2 linked regions of the Oreochromis niloticus genome follow. The protein of the gene in region 1 purifies or fractionates together with the protein of each later gene. This does not show direct contact. Links are inferred from orthologs where the notes say so. Each region holds a gene or a part of one and is shown on either strand. Other genes may lie near its edges. The genes, in order: arid4a and brms1.

What was found.
Region 2: the proteins of arid4a (region 1) and brms1 purify together in Homo sapiens (affinity purification with western blotting; 3 studies listed by BioGRID and IntAct, with this or other methods). This does not show direct contact. The link is inferred for Oreochromis niloticus from reciprocal best matches to the Homo sapiens genes ARID4A and BRMS1.

What each region holds. Positions count from the first base shown.
Region 1 is NC_031983.2:2,562,795-2,572,903, forward strand, and holds the start of arid4a (AT-rich interactive domain-containing protein 4A), read left to right. Parts: upstream 1-5,493; 5' UTR 5,494-5,723; intron 5,724-6,109; exon of another isoform or gene 6,110-6,425; intron 6,426-6,683; 5' UTR 6,684-6,730; coding exon 6,731-6,736; intron 6,737-7,784; coding exon 7,785-7,895; intron 7,896-10,109. Other genes in the region: psma3 (proteasome subunit alpha type-3), read left to right, coding at 1,708-1,780, 1,886-1,951, 2,908-2,954, 3,250-3,317, 3,651-3,715, 4,208-4,252.
Region 2 is NC_031967.2:10,441,739-10,451,974, forward strand, and holds the start of brms1 (breast cancer metastasis-suppressor 1), read left to right. Parts: upstream 1-6,253; 5' UTR 6,254-6,403; intron 6,404-6,663; exon of another isoform or gene 6,664-7,035; intron 7,036-7,144; 5' UTR 7,145-7,235; intron 7,236-8,969; 5' UTR 8,970-8,981; coding exon 8,982-9,204; intron 9,205-9,324; coding exon 9,325-9,415; intron 9,416-9,520; coding exon 9,521-9,648; intron 9,649-10,236. Other genes in the region: ppp1r14bb (protein phosphatase 1, regulatory (inhibitor) subunit 14Bb), read left to right, coding at 1,690-1,773, 1,864-1,896, 2,026-2,094. UniProt on the Homo sapiens protein: Transcriptional repressor. Down-regulates transcription activation by NF-kappa-B by promoting the deacetylation of RELA at 'Lys-310'. Promotes HDAC1 binding to promoter regions.

The sequences.
Region 1 (10,109 bases):
TGTCAAAAAGACGGTTCAGTCTCATCATTCACACAGTCACATCAGATAGCATTAAAGTTTAGCTTGGTACCCTTTATGTCGCTACACGCTCCTGAGCTTTGCTGTCATCCTACGGCTCCTGATTAAACCCTCTTACTAGAAAAGACCGCTGTTGCATTTAATGACTCCTTTTCATATTGTATTCTTCTAATGTTCGAGCCGTCAACAGTCAAACTTCATTTACAGCTCAGGTGATGTAAAGTATTGTACAAATATTATAATAATAATTATCATATGTATTATTTTAAAAAATGATCCAAATTAACTACACCCATCACAGCGATGACTGACTCAAGTACGTACCCGAGGGGGGGGGGACTTCTATGATGTCACTTCCTGTTGACTGTCAGATTATTCCCTTTGCTGTATTTACCTTAAACTCAGGGACACGCCCACAAATCCACAACTTTTGTTCTAAATGGAAAAACTGATTTAGGCCTGACGGATTCAAAGTTGTAATTGTTTCAAGTTCAGGTCTGTGTTCTTTTCATTGTCAAAGCTCAAAGTCATGATGTGTTCAGGACCACAGCTCAGTGTTGTGTTCAGAGTAAACGATCAGTGTTGTCATATTAGTGTTGTGCTGTGTACAGCACACAGTCATGCATTAGTTGGTTACCTGTGTGGATGTGCATGTCAATAAAAGATGAGGATTGTGACGTAGATCAGTGACAGAGAGAGCCTCTCCTTATGGAAATGTATGTTTTCCTTATTTCCATTTTCACACTTGACCTGGAATTCTTTCCCATTGTGAAGGATTCTCTCATTCTTAAGTATATCTTTGAGAGTCGAGAGAATTTCTCCAGGCCATCAGGGTGAGGAAACATATAGGGGGAGCAGCGTATATTTCACATACAAGCCTTTATCAAACAGTTGGAGGTCATTTAAACGGACAACTTGCTCCAGAAGTGGATTTTCTTATTTTTTCCTTTGGTGTTTATTCATCTAAGTCAGGGGTCTCAAACTTAAATGATTGGTCCTCTCCTTCTGGACAGACACGTGGCAGCACTTCTGCTCTCATTGTGTTCGTATGTAACAAAATCAAGTGTACACATTAGTGTGTGACTCTGTCACTGAACTAACACAACAAATCCTCAGTAACAGAAAAAGTCACTTCAAGGGACAAACTGCGTTAGATTTCTTCACGTCAATATACAGGCCGCAAGTGGCCCCTGGGCCACGACTTTGAGAGCCCTGGTCTAAGTTGTTCTGGTGTCTTACCTAATTTTGGACGTATGTGCCGTTGAGATGTCTGCCTTCTCTTGAATATATGGATGTTCACATTGTAATGGTTAAAGCAACAAAATATCCATTTTAAAAACTCTAATGCAGTTAGTCTTTCCGGAAATCACAGGGTTACCCAAAATGTATAAAGGATTCTAGTTTTATGTGGGAGATATTTTTCTCTTTGTTTTATACATCAGCCAACCAAAAGAAAAGACTTTCTGACATTTAACAAAAAAAAAAAAAAAAAAATCTCAGGTCACCTCTTGAATTTGAGTTTGAATGGAGTGGACAGGAAGCTGTAGGTTCAGGAACATAATAAATGAAATGTATTATTGTTGTTATCATCATCATTATTATTATTATTCACGGTCCCCCTCCTTCACTCTAGGAGCACAGTAATAAATCGATGCTTTCATGTCTGTGTTCTGGTTGTTTCTCTTTCAGTTTCATCCTTGGCTCATACGACAAAGACGACGGTCCCCAGCTCTACATGGTCGACCCGTCCGGCATCTCATACGTGAGTTTGCTCTCACATCTGTATATGGTGGGAACCCAGGTAGAACCTTGGCTAAAGCAGCAGTAACAACACTGTGTGTGCGTCTGTGTGTGTGTTTGTGTGCAGGGTTACTGGGGATGTGCCATCGGAAAGGCAAAACAAGCTGCCAAGACTGAGATTGAAAAACTGCAGGTGAGTCTGAACCTGCAACATTCACATGAGTCCAGTTTAGTTCTGTTAGCACTCTTATTCTAGATCCAGTTCTTCATCTGTTAAATAACCACAACTTTAGCTTCAGCACAAATCTTTAATAAGATAAGAAAGATCGTCTGTTAATGAAGACGTGTCACCTTAATACATGTGAGCTGGTGGCATCAGTGTCTGTAAAGCAGCTGATCCTGAACTCAACTGTGACTCGGTTTAAAAAAAAAAGTCAAAAGGTTCAATTTAATAATGTTTGAGGTTCATGTAAAAACAATTTCAAGTAGTTTCAAGATGTAATTTTGATATTGACCTTTTTAACCGCAGCCATAAAAGGCTGATGAGGTATGTGTCGAGTGACCTCGACCTCAAGGTCAGGGTGAGAACACCAAAAAAATCTCAGACAGGTTCGAATCCTGGTGACTGTCATTGCAAGGTCAGAGGTCAGCTTTTCTGAAATCACCTGGGAATTTCACATTTCTTCCATAGCTGCATCTACTGGGAGTTGAAGTGTAGCACTGGCACCACCAGTATATTTAAAAAAAAAAAAAAAAAAAAAAAAAAAGTTTTTCTGGCATCATTTTTTTTTTTTTTCCTTTTTTTGGGGGGACACATTTTCCAACATAATTATTAAAGAAATGTCTATTTTCAACCTCTTCTTTGCAATTCTGAGATCTGCATATTTTAATTGCTTATTTTTTCTTTTAAAATGTAAAAAACATTTTCTGCACATACTTCACTGACATTTTAGGAATGTTTAAAGGCATTTTTACATGTTTAGTTAAAAAAAACATTTTCAATTACATTTCTGATATTTCTGGGAAAATTGTATTGTAAAAGAAAAAATCAGATTAATAGTTAATATTAGTCTCCTAATCCAGATCAGTGTGCCTGATACTATCTTTGCTTTTTCCCTCTGTGTGTGTGTGTGTGTGTGTGTGTCTCAGATGAAGGACATGACATGCAGAGAACTGGTTAAAGAGGTCGCCAAAATGTGAGTGAGCAACTTCCAAACTCATTTTTTCTGAACTCCTGAACTGTGTCACCTGTAAGAGAGGTGTGTGTGTGTGTGTGTGTGTGTGTGTGTGTGTGTGTGTGTGTGTGTGTGTGTGTGTGTGTGTGTGTGTGTGTGTGTGTGTGTGTGTGTGAAGAAAATGGGAACTAAAACTCCCATGTCATGTAATGCAGAAAAATTGCAAGTGAACTGTGTAAAGTGCAAGTCTAAAGTACATTGCACACGTGGTGTATCTGTATTTTGCCTAAAGTCTGTTGTATTTTGATGTTTGCAGAATCTACATTGTCCACGATGAGGTTAAGGATAAGGCTTTTGAGCTGGAGCTCAGCTGGGTTGGAGAAGGTAAGCACCATCAGTGCTCTTCTTGTCCACTCATTTGTCTGTCTCTACTTTTAGTGTGAAGCTTCTAGACTTAACAGTGATGTCAGCTGACGCCCTTCATCGCGTAGGGATGATGACAATCCAGAAGGTTTCGCTCACTGGACTGAGTTCCTGTGATGTCACTGCCTCTTGGCTGTCTGACCAATCCATGAGCTGCACGCGGCCACATTAAACTAATGAGACACACAAATAAAGAAGCATAACATGCAGAATAATGTTGACAAACTGGCAAAAAACTCTAAGTAATTCTTCATTAGTACTTTGGTTGCCCTGGTGACATATCTTCTCTTACAGTCACAAATGGACGACACGAGTTGGTACCCAAAGATGTCAGAGAGGAAGCAGAGAAATATGCCAAGGTGGGTGATAATCCTTTGTAGCAGATAGAGACGATACAAGACAAACAGATGTAGCCACTGTGACGCTGCTGTCATGTCGCCTGTTGGCGTCTGGCCACAAACGTCTCGGACGGCTGGATCTCACAGCAGATATTAGTTGTCAGACTGTGGAGGGCTTCATTTTAACCATTGTGAAAATCTAACAGTTGAAGAAGCTGCATTCTTATTAAAGCCTAAATGTGTGAGTTCTACAGTAAATGTATTCCCACACACTTGTTGGGAAGGGAGAAATGATCCTTACAGACCAAAACAGTTTTTTGTATGGAGGTAGAGACACGCCGTGAACTTGTACCTAATAACGTGCGAATGTGTAAGGATCGACTCTTTTGGAACCAGCCTTCATTTTTACGACTTTGATATTCATGTCTGACTTTAGTAGAGAACGTATTTCCATAGTTGTTCTACTTTCCTGTGGTGGGCAGTACATTCAGGTGACTGCTTTTTGTGTTTCAGGATTCTCTGGAAGAAGAGGACGACTCGGATGAAGACAACATGTAAACTCATCCTCTGCTGACGGGCGCATCTGTTTCTTTTGTTGGTTTTATAGTTGATAATCTTTCACATCTGTTGTCTTGTTTTTGGTTTGAATTTCAGCTTTAAAAATAAAAGTTGAATGAAAGTTCACACTACTTTTTTTGGGGAGAGTGTTGATGAACAGTGATTGTAAATCTTTAATACTGCCATATTCCACCTTTCAAATATACTTTTTTGCTACAGAGCAAACAGTTTTCAGTGTTTCAGTCAGCTGATTGGTTAAACACGAAAAACAACAACGGAAAACAAACTTGTTTGCATGCAGAGCTCCAACCACATGAATATTATTAACTAGTGGTTTTATAGTAGGTTTGTACAAGACCTTCATCACAAAGTGAGATCATTTTGAACAAAAATATTTCACTTTCTAAACTAATGAAGAATGAATGCAAAATATGATTAGCAGGTAAAATGAGATGTTTTAATATCTTTGGGGTGTTTTTAACAACAAATCATAACAAACTGTTTAGTATTTATACGTGTTTGCTGTTTAGTGGCCTATGATTTGGTATAGTTGGACCTATGACAGCGTCACTTTCTCTGTGACCACCATGACATGATTGTGCTGTCTTCCTGTGGCGTCGGTACTCCAAACAAACGCCTACCGTTTTGTCTTTGCAGCTCATCTATCCAGTAAAGCTGTCAGTGCCAAAGGCTGTAGAGCGTGGTTCACACAATGACGTCTCAGATGTGGAACCAAATCACATTTAATGAAGTGTGCACTGTATGTTCTCAAGTCATGAGTTACCAGCGAATTAGAAGGGGGCAGGAGACGGTCTCTTTGATTTCCGCGTACATGTGAAAACACTGCATATAACAACAGAAGGACACGTAAGTACGTCATGAAGCGCCTTTTCCCGGTTGTTTCGATTCGCTGTTACCGGCAATACAAAGCGATCAAACACCAGCGCCCGCTGTTTGTGGTTATGTAAAAATCCGTGTAAACTTTATATCTGACAAAATCGTGCGTGTTATTTTTCTGGTCAGCCCAGTCGACAAATAAGTAGTATGAACTGTGAATTGAATATGGTGCTCAGAAATCCAGCACGGCAAGGCTTCCTGTTATATCGCTACAGACGAGGAAGACCGCTCCGCCAATAGAGACGCGCTACAGCGAGGAACAAAGCGTGGACGGCCAATTGTGATCGCCCTGTGTATTTTTTTCTATTGAACTCGCTTCTGATTACACCACTGGCCTGCAGGTGCCGTCATTTCCCTAGTGGCGCCGCGTTTGTACAAGCCCATAGCGATACCGCGTGAAGACTGTCCTATTGAAATTGAGAAATCGATCCACCAATCAAATTTCTGTGTTGCGACCACTGCTGTCACCACAGCCAATCGTGTTCTCAGGAAACGGAGCTTGAGGCTCAACAGCTTGTTGTTCGTATATTGCTTTGCAGCCCGAGCGAGAGGGGAAGCTGCTGTGTCCGTGAATGTAAGTATAAAACCTTCATATTTTGACTAGAACAAAGCTAAAACTTTGAACAGTTTAAACTGTCGGTAGGCCGAGGGCAGCTAGACGTCAGCGGAGAGACCGGGAGATGTCCGTTTGCTCGCTATTCGTCGGGGCTGTCTGAATTGAATGGCAGTCGGGTTGTTTTTGCACTGAAGAAATGTGAAGCTCCGGCGCCTTTGTGGAGGAACCGTTTATTAAATAAATAAATCTACAGCAGTTCTCGTTACGTCTAGTGTCACTGATTCACACTGTTTAGTAAAAACTTAGTTTGATCTCGTAACCAAGTGGGACCTAGAGTGGACTCTAGCTATGCTGCTCATTTGCTAGCGGACCGTTTAAATCTCCGTAACTAGCTAGTTGAGTCGCTAGTTAGCCAACTAGCTAGACGTAGCTACGAAGCGAAGAGCAGCTTGTCCCGTTCGCCTGTTGTTTGGACTTCGTTCGTCTTGGCATTCGGTTGTGTGGTAGCAGCTGGTCGCTATTAAGCGGATTTGGTGTGGATGTGATAAAGTTAGCCCAGCTAGCTGACATGACAAGCTGTGATGGCGACGTGACTCACAGGGGCTGGGAGCGGAGCGGGAAGAGGCGCCCCTCTCCGGCCCCGCTCACGCACCGTGCCCATCACCGAGCTACCAGCGACGCTTCTTCAAACCGGGGACCCGGTGTTCACTGGAAGTAAAGGTTACTAGCTAAATTTTTGCGAGCTGTTTGGGCCACATATTTGAACTGATACGAGTAGGCAGATTTGAGGGGAGGGAGGGAGGGAGTGGGTTGACCGAGCTAGAAAAGAATGCCTGAGCTAACACAAGTGAGTGGCTAGTCGGTTAGCTTAGCGTGATTTTCAAACTGGACTGGTCTGTTTGACTCTTTATGCCCTGTTTGTCCTCAGTGCCACCGCAAGCTTTAACCTCATCTGTCGGCTCATTGTTTGTCTTTCAGTGATCCCAAATCTTTCGAGCTGGACTCCCTCAAATAGCCGAGAAGAAATGAAGGTGAGTGTTTGACCTGCGACACAAACTGAAGATGGTGTTCTCGGTCTAAGCACCATGTCTGAACCCTGCTCAGAGACCCAGATGGAACCAGACACAGATGACTTAAACTGTGCTTTTCCAGTTCCGACTCCTGTGTCGGTTTATCGTTTTTACATGGCAGATCTGTGCTGTGGTGTTATAGTGATGAGCCAAATGTTTATAGTCCTAAGCAGGATTCCGACAATTGCTGTACAATGTAAACGCATTTCCACTGCTTTAATTACAACACTGTCTCTGATTTGCAAATTATTTAAAGACCCTTTTTTAATATTCCAAAGACCACTCATCCCTTTGAGTTTTTTGGTGGGGGATTTGTTTTGTTGTTTTTTTTAACCTAAAAATATGATTGATTTAAATCAGATGCAACAACATTATTATTCCTGTAAAACTACATGATAAGGATCAGGAGCTATGACAAGTAGCACTATATAACTAGGTGTTTGGTGACCGGCTGCATATTTAGACAGACAGACTGAAACACCTAGTCAGTACATGTCTTATTCTGGTTTTTAGATTGATTAGTTTGATTTGCTGTTATTGCCATTAATAAAAAGCTAATTACATTCACTCGCATTATGTATCTGGTAGGAAAGTTATCTGAGGTTTGGGTTTCTTGGAAGAAACATTTCTGAACATTTCTGAATCTAACTCTTGATGTAATCATCAAGAGTTAGATGAAAAGTGTCAACACAAATGAGACAAAATAACATGTAGGCAGCAGCTGATGTTTAGAAAAAGGTAAGCTGGTAAGGGTTGAGATGACAAACCACTTCACACAAATGGTCAGGAACTGGTTGCCATTTTCATTGTGTAAACAGGTACGTCAGTAATCAGTTTTTAAAGGATCCATTTTCCTAAAACTGGAATTAGACCCAGGACTCATGGATGTGCTCTCCAGGCTTTTGACAAATGACAGACTGACAAAGTGAAACCATCACACAAACTTCACAAATGCAACTCAAAGTCTTGAGAGCTGCTGCTTATGTGTATGTTTGTATTGGCATTTCAGGCAGCAGATGAGCCTGCCTACCTGACAGTGGGGACAGATGTCAGTGCCAAGTACCGAGGAGCCTTCTGTGAGGCCAAGATCAAGACTGTTAAGCGCATGGTGAAAGTCAAGGTAAGATTAGCAGAAATTTCATCCTCATGAGCATCAGGAATTATAAAGGACCACAGTCTGGTCTGTCAGTGTTTCCCACTTAATATCATTGGGTCACTGTGCTTTCTGACCCTGAGTACATGTCAGACACAAACGGGGTGGACTGATTTTTCAAAGGAATAGTTTTTAATTAATTAAGCTTTCAATTCTGCTTAACAGTGGCCTACTTACCACAGTTCCTTCAAAACCTGGATATGAATCTAGTCCTGTGTTGTGAATATGTTCCACTACTTACTTCATGGTAAACAATGTGTCCCATAGCTCTGTGAAGAAATCAGATCGCAGCCTTTCAGTGTTAGGGATGCACCAATTTGGCCAATGACTATAACAACTTTAAACGTTTTGTTTCTGTTGTAAGGGCTTTTCCCTGTCATTGTGTCGTTTAAGTAATTAATCAGAGCTTAAGAAGTGTACGACAGCTTCCAGTATTAAACATCATCTGGTTGATAGCAGTCACCAGGCTGATGTCACCTGACAAAGATGTACTGCCGGTATCATCTGTTGCCACCAGCTGTGTGAGTCTCAGTATACCTGGGCACCTGCTGTTGTAAAGTTTGTTTAGATGTAACACATTAAAGCCACAGACTGAATGTAGAAAGTGGATATAACCACCAGTTTATAAAAGTGGAGCAAATGCAGAATTTCTTTATATCCGCTTTAGTTGCGGTGACATCACAGTGGCTGTGCCCACGTCTTTTATACAGCACAGTTACTGCTGACTAAAGTAACTTTGCTCTTCCCCTATAGCAAATACTGCAACAGTGTGCTGGTACGTCTCTCACACACTGTGCCACAACAAACCCACAAGTCTTGTAGGTAGGGATGGGGATTGATAAGAAGAAATTCAGATTCTGTTATTGCTTTGATTCCTTACAGACATTCTGTACTCGAGTAGAAGTACAGATACTAGTGTTAAAAAATATTCCGGTGGAAGTGGAAGTAAAAGATTAAAAGTACAGGCTCTGAAATGTAAGAAAGTAAAGAGTGGGTCTTTGGATGACGTTTCTACTAGCTAGTTTTGTGCAAAGCTAACTGAGCTATGTGCCTTAATGCAATGATAAAATAATATTAGAAGATGAATACAAACGGTTAGTCTCATTTTTAATACTCTGCTTCAATCAGAAGAAGAAGAACAAAAATAGATTTTTTTTAAATTTTCTTGTCCCACATTGCAGAGGGTGACTTTGCTCCTGCATAAGAAAATGAGCACAGTCAATTGTTAAAGTGGGATTCAGCAGGTGGGGGAACCCTATAATGGGCTGTAGTGGCTCAGTGTGGGAATCAGTCATTTCTATTGAGATCTCCAGTAGATTTTCTAAGCGTGCAGACTGTGATCGGCTGATCTGATCTGGGCTACTGCTGCTCTGAGGTTTACTGCTCTTTGTGGATGTACACACCTGTATCTCTGAAGTACAGCAGTTGGACCTTTCGCTAGCAACACACCGTGAGACAAACTGCAGACACAAACAGTTTGTGTGTTTGCTGATTAAAAACATTGCATTTGACATTACCCCCCACCTAAACAAAAAATTACTCCCTTTATGCCCACCCCTCTGTTGTAGCGATAGCAAGATGCTGAAGTGCTCACTGACAGCTGCAGTCGCTCCGGTTCTGCCAACCAAAAAGAAAAACATCGGCCGACTTGATTACTGACTGTTACACGTCATCTCGATTCATGTGACATCCCCTGGAGCAAGCAAGCAATTTATTTATATAGCACTTTCAGATCAGCCCCCAGCTGAACACAAAGTGCTGTACACTTGACATGCCAAAATGATACATTGAACATGTTAAAAAATAAGAAAAATAATAATATAAAATAAATAAAATATATATATAAAAATGATTATTAAAATGACATTAAAATAAATAAAATTAGCACAAATAGCAAAAACAATAATAAAATAGTATAAAAAATGATGATGAGAATTACATTTAAAACAATAAAATCAGCACATTAGATCAAAACAAATCAATAAAATCAGGGTCAGACTGTGTCACATGCCAAGGAGTAAAAATGGGTTTTAAGACATGTTTTAAAAGTGGACAGTGAAGGGGCCTCTCTAATGTGCTGGGGCAGATTGTTCCACAGATTAGGAGCAGCAATAGAGAAGGCCCTGTCCCCTCTGAGCTTCCTCTTGGACCTGGGTACCTCCAGGAGCAGCTTGTCAGCTG
Region 2 (10,236 bases), on another chromosome or scaffold:
TTTTGCCTGTCCATGTGTGGTTGTGAGTCCGACTGACTTGTGTGTGTTTTGTGTGATGGGATAAGGGGCAGTCAGGCAGGTGCAGAGACAGCTGGTGTGGGCAACTCTAACCGAGGGGGAGGACGAGAGCGAGGGAGAGATTCCTAGAGAACGACATGAATATAGGGGCAGCAATTGAGCTGCAAAAGAGCTCGGGGGGGGGGGCACAGAGTGTTTGTACGAGTGTGCGTGCGTGTGTTCTTGTCGCCAGCGGTGAAGAGCTTGGCTGGAGCACACTGAGCCAGTGTGTGCGAGCGAGGCAGATGGAGAGACGGGGACTAATAAAGCTTTTTAATAGAGCGACAGATTAATCGGAAGAAAGAATTGATTGGATAAGGAGAAACTGAGACGAAGATGAACTCGCCGTGAACTGCTTTCTTTATCCTGAAGACTAATTCGACGTTAGATGTGAGCCTGATGAAACTGGGCGATGACTGATTGGCTTATATTAGGTGTATAAATGTGTATTTTAATTTATGTAGTTACTTTGCTTTAAATATGATTTGAAGTCCACGTTTTCTAAACGCGAATGCAGCGGTAAAAATTCCCAATTCAAAGGAGCAGATTTCCCAGTTTCAACTGGTTTTTACATGAATACAACATGGGTGGCCATCAGCAGTTAGCACCCTAGCTTTCAGTAATGAGCTGTCTGTAAAGAAAATAGTAATTATTCTAAAATAAATGTTTCCAGTTTTGCACAACAGATTTGAAGGAGGACACTTTAAAGACCTGTTAGAAACAGGAACTTGCCTGGATCCTAACTCTGTGTTGCTCCATTTGGTGTCTTTGTTTCTTCTCAGGTGTTAGCTTTAGGACATGCACGTGTTCTTACTTGATCTCAAACATCACACTGACTTTCTTGCATTGTAAGCTATAGATGGATGGATAGCTTTGTTTTGCCCACGTAAAGCTGAGAATTGATGGGAAATGAGCTAGCTCGGCCCTCTCCACAGACGATAAAACACTGCAGCGCCTTGCCTTTGTGAATCTTGACACAGTGGACACATGAGATGCCACCTCCTTCTCACTGTGTTTTTGCTAAACTGAGCTAAATAGCTGGTAGACGAGCACCCCTGTCTCCTCGTGTAACTCGTGGGATGAAAGCGAACTACAAATTTCAGTCCATTCCTTTAATCATTTTGTGTGGCAAAAAGTAAAATTCCTTCGCACTGGTATTTCTGGTCCCCAAACAGTATCATTGCTCTCTGTGTAACAGCAAATAAGCACAGCTTTTAACCAGATTATTCTTTTATTTTTTATTTTTCCAACCTTGAAAATAAACTCTTTTTTTTCATTGAAGAAGATTAAAAAAATGAAACCTGTCTGTGCTGGTTTTCTTCTCTCTTTGTCTCCTCATGTCTCTCTGCCATGTGCTTTGCGCTAATGGAAGCACGCCGCCCTCTAGTGTCCACAGCCGGACATTCATCAATAACTGTACCACGTCATACAGAGAGAGAAATGCTTACGCTTGCTGGTCTATTTGCAGACAACCACATAATATAAACACAGGCACTAAGAATAGACAGGATGAGGATTTCTTTCCATGTGTTCGTGGAAAGAGGTTCTCTAGTATTTTTCTAAGGAAGTTGGTGGATGTTTGGTCTCTGATGGTGCTCTTCTTCTCTCCTCCTTTTGTTACATGTGCTATAGGAAGAGGCCATCCCCGAGCTGGAGATAGATGTGGACGAACTGCTCGACATGCCCAGTGATGTTGAACGGGCAGCCAGGGTCAAGGTAGGACACACGTGCGCACCTGTTTCAGAGCAGGAAAGATGGCTGCAAACAGCAGAGTGTTATTTCATCCTGTTTTTCCCTGTTTTGCAGGACTTGCTGGTTGACTGTTTTAAACCTACTGAGGTAAAACACAGTTCTTCTTCACTCCCCTGCTCATAAACTCCCTCTGCCTCTTCAAGTGAACATTTCTGATGTGCATATTTGTCATATTGAGTCCCCGCATGTGTTTTTGTCCTTGCCCTCTCCCCGTAGGACTTCATCTCAGAGCTGCTCGACAAGATCCGAGGGATGCAGAAGCTCTCCACGCCTCAGAAGAAATGATGGCATCCTTCCCCTTCCTCCCTCCATCCTACATATTCCCTTCCACCTCAGCCCTCACCTCTCGTCTTCCTACCACAGCTCACGCTATTTTTTTTTTTAAACTTTTGTCTGTTTTCTTCCATTAAAGTTCATGAAATGACAACTTGTTTCTGCTTCTAGTTAGACCCTCTCTTGTTGTTGCCTGGATCCAGCCCCATATGTCGCTTTTCTCTTTTGTTGTCATGTCGTTGGACTTCCTTCATAAAAACCATCAGCCAAGAAGGGGGAAAAAAGACAAATTAAAGAGTGAATTAATTCAAAAGCGACTCATTGGTCTTAATCCAGGCATTCTCCTTCCTCCTCTTTTCCTACTCCTACCCCTCTCTCCACCTTTTTTTTTTCTTTTTTGGCTCTGCTACCCTTTCCCATCCAGCTCTACTTCCTCCCCACCCACCCCTACACCATCTTCCATCTGTCTGAGGAGGAAGAGGAGACGAGTCCCCTAATTACTGCGAGCAGAGCGACCGAGATCGAGAAGAACGAGAGAGCGCAGATGCCAAAAAAGACAGTGGAAGGGTGAACGAGGAGGAGGAGGAGGAGGGTTAGAGGAAGGAAGAAGCCAATCAACTCGCTTCTGTCTCCACCGATCTTTACGTTGCTGTTTTTGAGGGTTTTAAAGTTGACCCAGCCGCCCATTATAATTCTTTCCATACTTCCCGGTTCAATTTGAGGGCTTCACTTTAGTTTTTTTTAATTAACTCTTTCGGGGATCAGTACAGTCTTTTGCTAATTATCCCCCTCAATCAGAGGCATTGCTGCAGTGGTGCATTTAGAGACTTTTTTTTTGTGCGTGTGTGCGCATGTGTGTTTGAGAAGTCTGCACTATGTCATTTTGAGGGGAAGAAAAATCGGAACCACAAAGAATAATGTATGGTGTATCTTTAGCACGGCAAAGAGGGAAAATTTGAAGCCTGGAAAGGGTCACCGGCTTGTTTTTGGTGGTCACCGGCTTAAAAAAACTGATCTCCTCCGGAAGCAAGTTCTCTTTAGGCTGGATGTCAAAGTAGAAGGTTTCTTTTTCCTCAAATGCGTAGAACAGTCACGAGAGGCTCCTCAGAAGCCGCTGCACATACAAACGTATGTCTGTGTCGCTAAATGCTACGTGTGTGTTGCTACATAATGTACAGCAACATTTGTCATAGGAGTGTTTTTGGGCCTGTATATTCTGCTGTTCTGTATGACAGATTAGATTTTTAGTATAGGACTGGTTCCTGTTTCGTTTGGGAGGGGCGGGGGTTCTGTTTTTGTTTCCTGGATGCATTTTTTTGTCACACGGACACACACTGACAGTCCAACAAGGGGACCCAAAACAAAGCTGCCTTTTTTTAAAATCACTGCCCCTAACCCTTCCATCTCATTCTCACAATTTCTCCTTTTCTAAAACATTATTAGACTAAACCATTATACTTTTTTGAGGGGGGGCATTCAGAGCAGTCACATCTCTGACATTTGTCCTCTGCCTGACATGTCAGTGGAATCACCGCTAACATGCCTAAACAGGAGAGAGGCCATTGTTCAAATCAAAGCTTGTATTTTTCTTTCTCTGACACGCACACAGCTTCTCGGGGCGGAAGAAGCGGAAACACATCGGCAAACACAGCTGCCTCTAGCACAGATGTGCACACACACAAACACTGGCACAGTCAGAGAGAGAGGGAGACGAGGCCATAGTCCACCGCTGCCCCCCTCTAACCTCCCGGTGCAGCTACCAATCCTCTCGGAGAATAAGCCATCTGTTTCTGATCCTGGGCCAATCAGATCAGAGACCGAAGCCCATTGGTTAACAAGAGAAGCAGCGAGATTTCGCTGTGGTTCCTGTGACCGATTGCTAACACCTGCAGTGACAGCAGACCTTCGCTGTCTGCCTCTTTCTCTGCTAGAGCCAAAAGGCACATGTGTACACACACACACTTTCATCTTGCTGCTCTGTCATTGCTCCCTGACATCCCCCACTTTTCTCTTTTGCCTTCCTTCATCCCACAGTCACCCTTCTCTCCTCCCTCCCTTTTTCATTTTTTTTTTCATTTTTTGTTTTTTTATAAAGAGATGTTGCCTTAGGTATTATTTATGTTACACAAACCAAATAAACAGGAGACATTTTTCTTTTAAAGGGTAATGCAAACTGCTGCCACGTGTGAGCAGACCTGCAGTGTGTGGGGAAAAAATCTTGAATCTTCTGTTGGTCCTTATATACTCTTTCTTCTTTTTCTGGAAAACAAACTGAGATTCTGTTTTTTGATTTGTTTTTTTTTAAGAAGTGAGTGTTTAATACTTAGGCCTTGATACAGTGATTTTTGTTTAGGTAAAAGATGTTCTTTGCATTTACCATTTGAATACTGCTCTGTTTCTATCGTGATCATGACACTTCTTGACACCCGGCCTTGGATTAACACGTAGTTGAACAAAAAGAAAAAATCCACTCAGATGCATTTTGGTGCGATTGCTTTTGCCTTCCCTGCTGGGACATTTTTGATCGGTCAGATTTTACCAGGCAAGTCCAATCAGTAGCTGAAGTTTGAGTGGATTTTCATTGCTAAATCCAGGTTTGGATTATTATACCTTCGTAGACTGTTATTGACAAGTCTGTTTTGTTTTTTTACTGTTGGGGAAAATTGCAAAAAACAATATATATACTGATTATTTTCATTGAGGCTAAATACAAGAGCTAAACCATGCCATTTGGAGGAGTGGTGTTCTTTAGATTTTTTTTTTTTTTTTTTTTTTTAAGACAATGATTAGACCAACAAACCAACCAACAAATGTAGCAATATCAACAACAGGTCTTGTTTTTGCCCAATTTTGTTACACTTTTATGCAACTTTAATAAAAACATGTAAAATGGACATTTTTCTCTGTGTGGTGTTTTATTATAGTACTTGGTACTGTTTGTTAATCCTTCTTCTAGAGCCCATAATAGGTGAAAAATATCAAAATTCTCAAATTTCTCAGTCATGATTAAATTCTGCCTCACTTTAATGCCATCTTGTGGTTACTTGGTATAACCGCTACATCGTCCACCTGCTGAGAAGGTGAGGATATCTGGGGATACCTGCAGGAATACCATCGTACTTGGAGGATGGTTAATATAAGTTAAGTGAACGAGTGCATCATGCCATTGATAACTTTTCACCAAAGGTTCAGGGAACAACAAGAGCAATGAACAGAACAGGATAAATGCCAGTATTAGATTTGATGTTTTAAACATTGCAAGGACGTTAGCACGGACGTTTAGTTCACGGTTCCAACATTACCCCACCACCAAAAAAATAGAGAACTTTGGGGGAGAAATTGGGATCGTTCTCCTATGTATGGGGTTTAATTACACCATCACACCCCTGAATTACAGTGTCTTACAAATGCAAACTCAGCCTATTTGACCACATTACCATAATTAAGTATAGGGGTGTGAGAGCAGCTGCACAGTGCTAGCAGTGGAAGAGCAATTGAAAAAGAATAACCATTGATCGTACAGTACTGCGCCCTATACACACTATGCTAAGCTACATTTCTATAAGTATTTTATAATGAAATATTTGCCTTAGATCTCGGGATTTAAATTGTATTATCAGGTTTGCGCCTCGTGAATGAAAATAAGTTCAATTATAAACCGTATTTTTAGAATCATATATGTAAAATTTGGATTATTTTTTATTTTGTTTTATATTTTAAAATAATTAGAAACCAATTTTTCTCCAGTTATAGTGTTAGGTTATTATATTATATTATATTATATTATATTATATTATATTATATTATATTACAGCAAGGTCTTAGGTCAAACAGCTCCAAATCCTTGTTGCAAACAACGGGTATACTGAATTCTATAGTATTCATGAAGAAATATGTTTGTCTTCTTTAAGTGTCCTCTTTAAATAATTACATCTATCTTTATGAAGTTGTACCAAAACACCTTATATCACCGAGACAATGTGTTTCTCACTATTACATGCACTCGCAATGGGTTATAAGCCATCTTTCTCGCCTAAAGACAAACATTTCTTCATTTTGTGAATAATAAGGAAGGCGACCTGGATTATAATTGGCTTACTGGATCTGGTTGAGTATTTCTGATTGGACAAGAGACTTTCGGGTTGATCGCTGCTATTGGACAGTTCAGTGCTCGGTCTCCGCGCTCATTGGCTGAACTTCCGGGCTTCAGAGTCCGGCAAAGTGTGGAACTAAAGAAGACTGGGACGAAGAGGAAGTACTTTTTAAAATGGAAATACAGTAAATCATACTTGAACTTTTCACAGCAGAACAACAGGACGCGGTGAGCGAGCTTTTCTCTTGACTGTCACATTTATGGAAAGAAGGGTTATTTGTTTACAAACAGCATCGCCTGCATCTGTTGACGGATAACGTTATTTGTTAATCCGTACGCTGTAGGAAGGTAGGGTCAGTATGGAAGCCCCTCTGGCGATGCTTCACTGAGTTTGATGGGTGTTTTTCTTCTACGAACCAGCACACACTCTAAGAGAAAACACTTGGCCATTAAATAAGATGAGTATTCGGACAAGGTGATGAACAGGCAGTCATTCCTTCGCTGCAGGGTTTCAATTGTTAGCTAGTGTTGCACTTGACTTGTCCGTGGTCTAGTTCCCGCTAATTTTAAAAGAAAATGCAACAAACGCGTCTCTGTTATTTTGAGGGGAACTGCAATTAATTTCGCGTTCAATACAATAGGTTTCAGGCTAATTTGGGCATTTTATTTTACTCTATGCACCGCCGTAGCTGTTATAACGTACACGGTTTTACTTTGACATCCCGGAAGCTAAAAGATAAAGTTAGACCGATTGAGATGGGACTTCCGGTAAGGTAACAAATAAGACCCCCGTTAATTGGTGAAGCCAAATTGTGGAGCAACTTTAAAGTGATATTTCAGTTATAAACTTTTTTCTAAAGGTGTGTTTTATGAGGGATAAGCAAGACTGCGTTATTTTAGCTTGTTGCCTGCCTGTATGTCTGCGAAGCCAGTCATGTCATTTCCGGTGTTGTGTTGTGTTTTTTGCAGTTCACTTGGCCGAGGTTATGGAGGCCATACAGTAGCTCGGGGTCCCACGTCCTCAGTCTGCTGTTAAACCTTATTCCACTCCGTCTGCCGAGTAAGCAAAATTTCACTGTTATTAACCCACGGGCAGGTCTTAATTTTACCAGGACAATTTTTATGTGTTTTATGCTTTGCGTTTATTTTTTACAGACTGTAAAATATGAAATATGACCCCTGACAATTTATGTTGTTTTCAAATGTATTCGTTGTTGTAAACATCCCAGTCAGTGTTTTATAATTTTGAGTTTAATGTTGTTGGGACATTAATAGTGTGCTTATGCAGCTTCTTACATATAATTTATAAAATAATTGAATTTTCCAAAAATATGTTTTTAAACTATGATTCTTTATAAAGTCTATATTTAGGATGTACCCTTTGGAGTTGTGTGTAGCGCTGATCACTTATTTATGAAGTAAGTCAAGAATAATTAAAACACTGATGTCAATGAAAGTTTAACAGACACTTTGGTAATATATCATTATTATTATTTATTTATATAACTTTTTTTTAGAAAAATTATATATGCACACACATAAGTAAGACTTAGCTTACATGAACCATAATTTTCTGGGTTAAATTGCATTTTTTTTTTTTAAGTTTTCATTTTTGGTGTATGTAGTACTGTGCAAATGTCTTGAGCCACCTCTCATGTCTTTACATTTTTCTTCCAAGGAGACAGACTTCCTTGTAATTCTTTTATTTAAAGTGTTCTTGAGCAATAGTTCTCCAGGCTTTCTGGAGGTGTTTCAACGTTTTGGTTTTTTTTTTTCTCTTGTTTTCAGTCCAGTACTTGTAAACAAACTGGTATTTATAGTGGCTTTCAGCTCAGTTAATTTACTACTGCAAGTCCCATTCATCCAATCACACACACACATCCATACAGTACTTTCATCTAGCTACTTTCCAATTGGTAGACAACCCGCTCTGCCACCTGAGCCACAGCTGCCCCCATCTACCTGAATGTTTGTTTGTTATGCCGCTTAACACTGACCTATGAATTATTCAAGCAAATTCACCTAACTCAATTGATGAACCAGTGGTGTGTCTACACATAACAGGAAGCAGGCAAATTTGAATTTTGTTTTGGTTCAAACTGAGAGGATGTCAGGAGAGAGGTACAACACTGAGTATGCAGCTGTCTATAAAACACAGTGGAAATGTGAACACAAAAATTAGCTTTAGATTTTCATAGCAGCAACATGACAATGATTTCAAGCATGCTGCCAGTTAGAACCATATCACATCATCTCTGATATTCCATTATCCCAATTTTAAAAAATGTAGCTAAAAGACGTCCAACAAAGCACAATGCGCTGCACAATATGCAAGAAAACTGTTCCAGCTAAATGTAGAAATAACAGACTTGTTTCATCACTTGAGGCAAAAACACATCATCGAGTACACCCAGGCTACGAAGGAGGAGATACTAGCAGCTGGTGGTGTGTGACCCAAATGTAAGCAGATGACTCCACCGAGCGCAGCTGGAGCACTCACTGGTCGCACTCCACATGACAGGAAGAGCAAACTGTGGATGGAAATTACAGATGCAGTTACATGTGGCAGAGAAGGGTTTTAAGCAACAGGTTAAAAACTTTGGCCCAACGTACAACATCGCAGGCTGAAAGTATTCTTTCATTTTATTATGTGACAATACTGTGCTATATTTTTGAGGCCATATTGCCCACATCTTCTGCTAATGCAGTACAAACATATCTGGATAGAATTGGCTGTGTTGAAGAGTTTACCGTCTTTAGTTTTATGTGATATTTTTATTAATGCCACATATAGCTTCTGGCTTCCATGCCTGCCCAACCCCCTGTGAAGGAGCCGGAGGAGGAGATGGAGGCAGAGGGTGAGTCGCAGCTCCCCGAGGCCAACGGAGAGGTGGAAGAACCCAGAGAGAATGAAGGAACAAGAGGGGGAGGAGCCGAGGAGACCATGGAGGAAAGTATGGAGGAGAGGGAGACCGACTTGGAAGATAGTGACGAGGAGGAAGAGGAGGAAGAGGAAGAAGAGAGCTCAGGTAAAAAAAAAAAAAAATCAAAATGCTCTATTAACGTTTCGACTGCTTATATAACAAGAGAGACGCAATATAATCGACGCCACCTTAAACTGTTTTCTTTTTTCTCTTTGTCCTATGAAGAGATGGATGATGAAGATTGTGAGAGGAGAAGAGGAGAATGTCTGGATGAGATGATGGATCTGGAGAAACAATTCCAGGAGCTGAAAGAGAAGTAATTTGAAGCGGGGGGAAAAAGGGATTCAACACTTTGTCCTTCTTCTTTTTTTCGATGTCTGAGCCACCTGTTGCTGAGGCTGATTTCACCGTGTGATTGCAGGTTGTTTCGGGAACGGCTAAACCAGGTGAAAGTCAAGCTGGACGAGGTGCTGACAGGAAAGGCCGGTGAATACAGAGACCCGCTGGCTGCACTACAGAACAGCATGCAGATACGGACACAAGTGGCTGGTACAGAAAAATAAATAAATAAAATCCTAATCAAGTCCAATACCCTAGCTACGGTGGCCACTGTAGTGCAAACAACCTTGGCTGCCATTTGTCTGTAGTGAGTGTAGGTTGTCAGCGTGCTGTTTACCTCGGCTGTAAATATGTGTGCTCGTGCATTTACTCTGGAGGAGGCTGTAAAAAGTGTGAAAGGTACGAGTCGGTGAGTCGGTGAAGCTCACTTCTGTCCAATGACGGTGATACTGAGGTGAGTTGTTGAGGATATCCTCAACTATCCTGTCTGTAAAGGCTGCTGTTAGCCGGAGTTAGGGAAACCTTTTTTGTAGTGGAGCTAACATTTTTGGACTTGGACACTTGGCGAATAAACTCTCATACATGATCTGTGATTTTTATAGTAGACTCGATGTCGGATGTCTAATCTGCTGACAATAAACAATTGCGGGAATAACGAGCATGTTTATGCTAGTTTTCATGTGTTTGTGAGTCCTGACTTCAGTTCTTTCCTTTTTGGTGAAGGCGACACCTGCTCAGATGAAAAACAGACATTATTCTTGAGTCTGAAGCCATGAATGACACGAAGCTTCCACAACC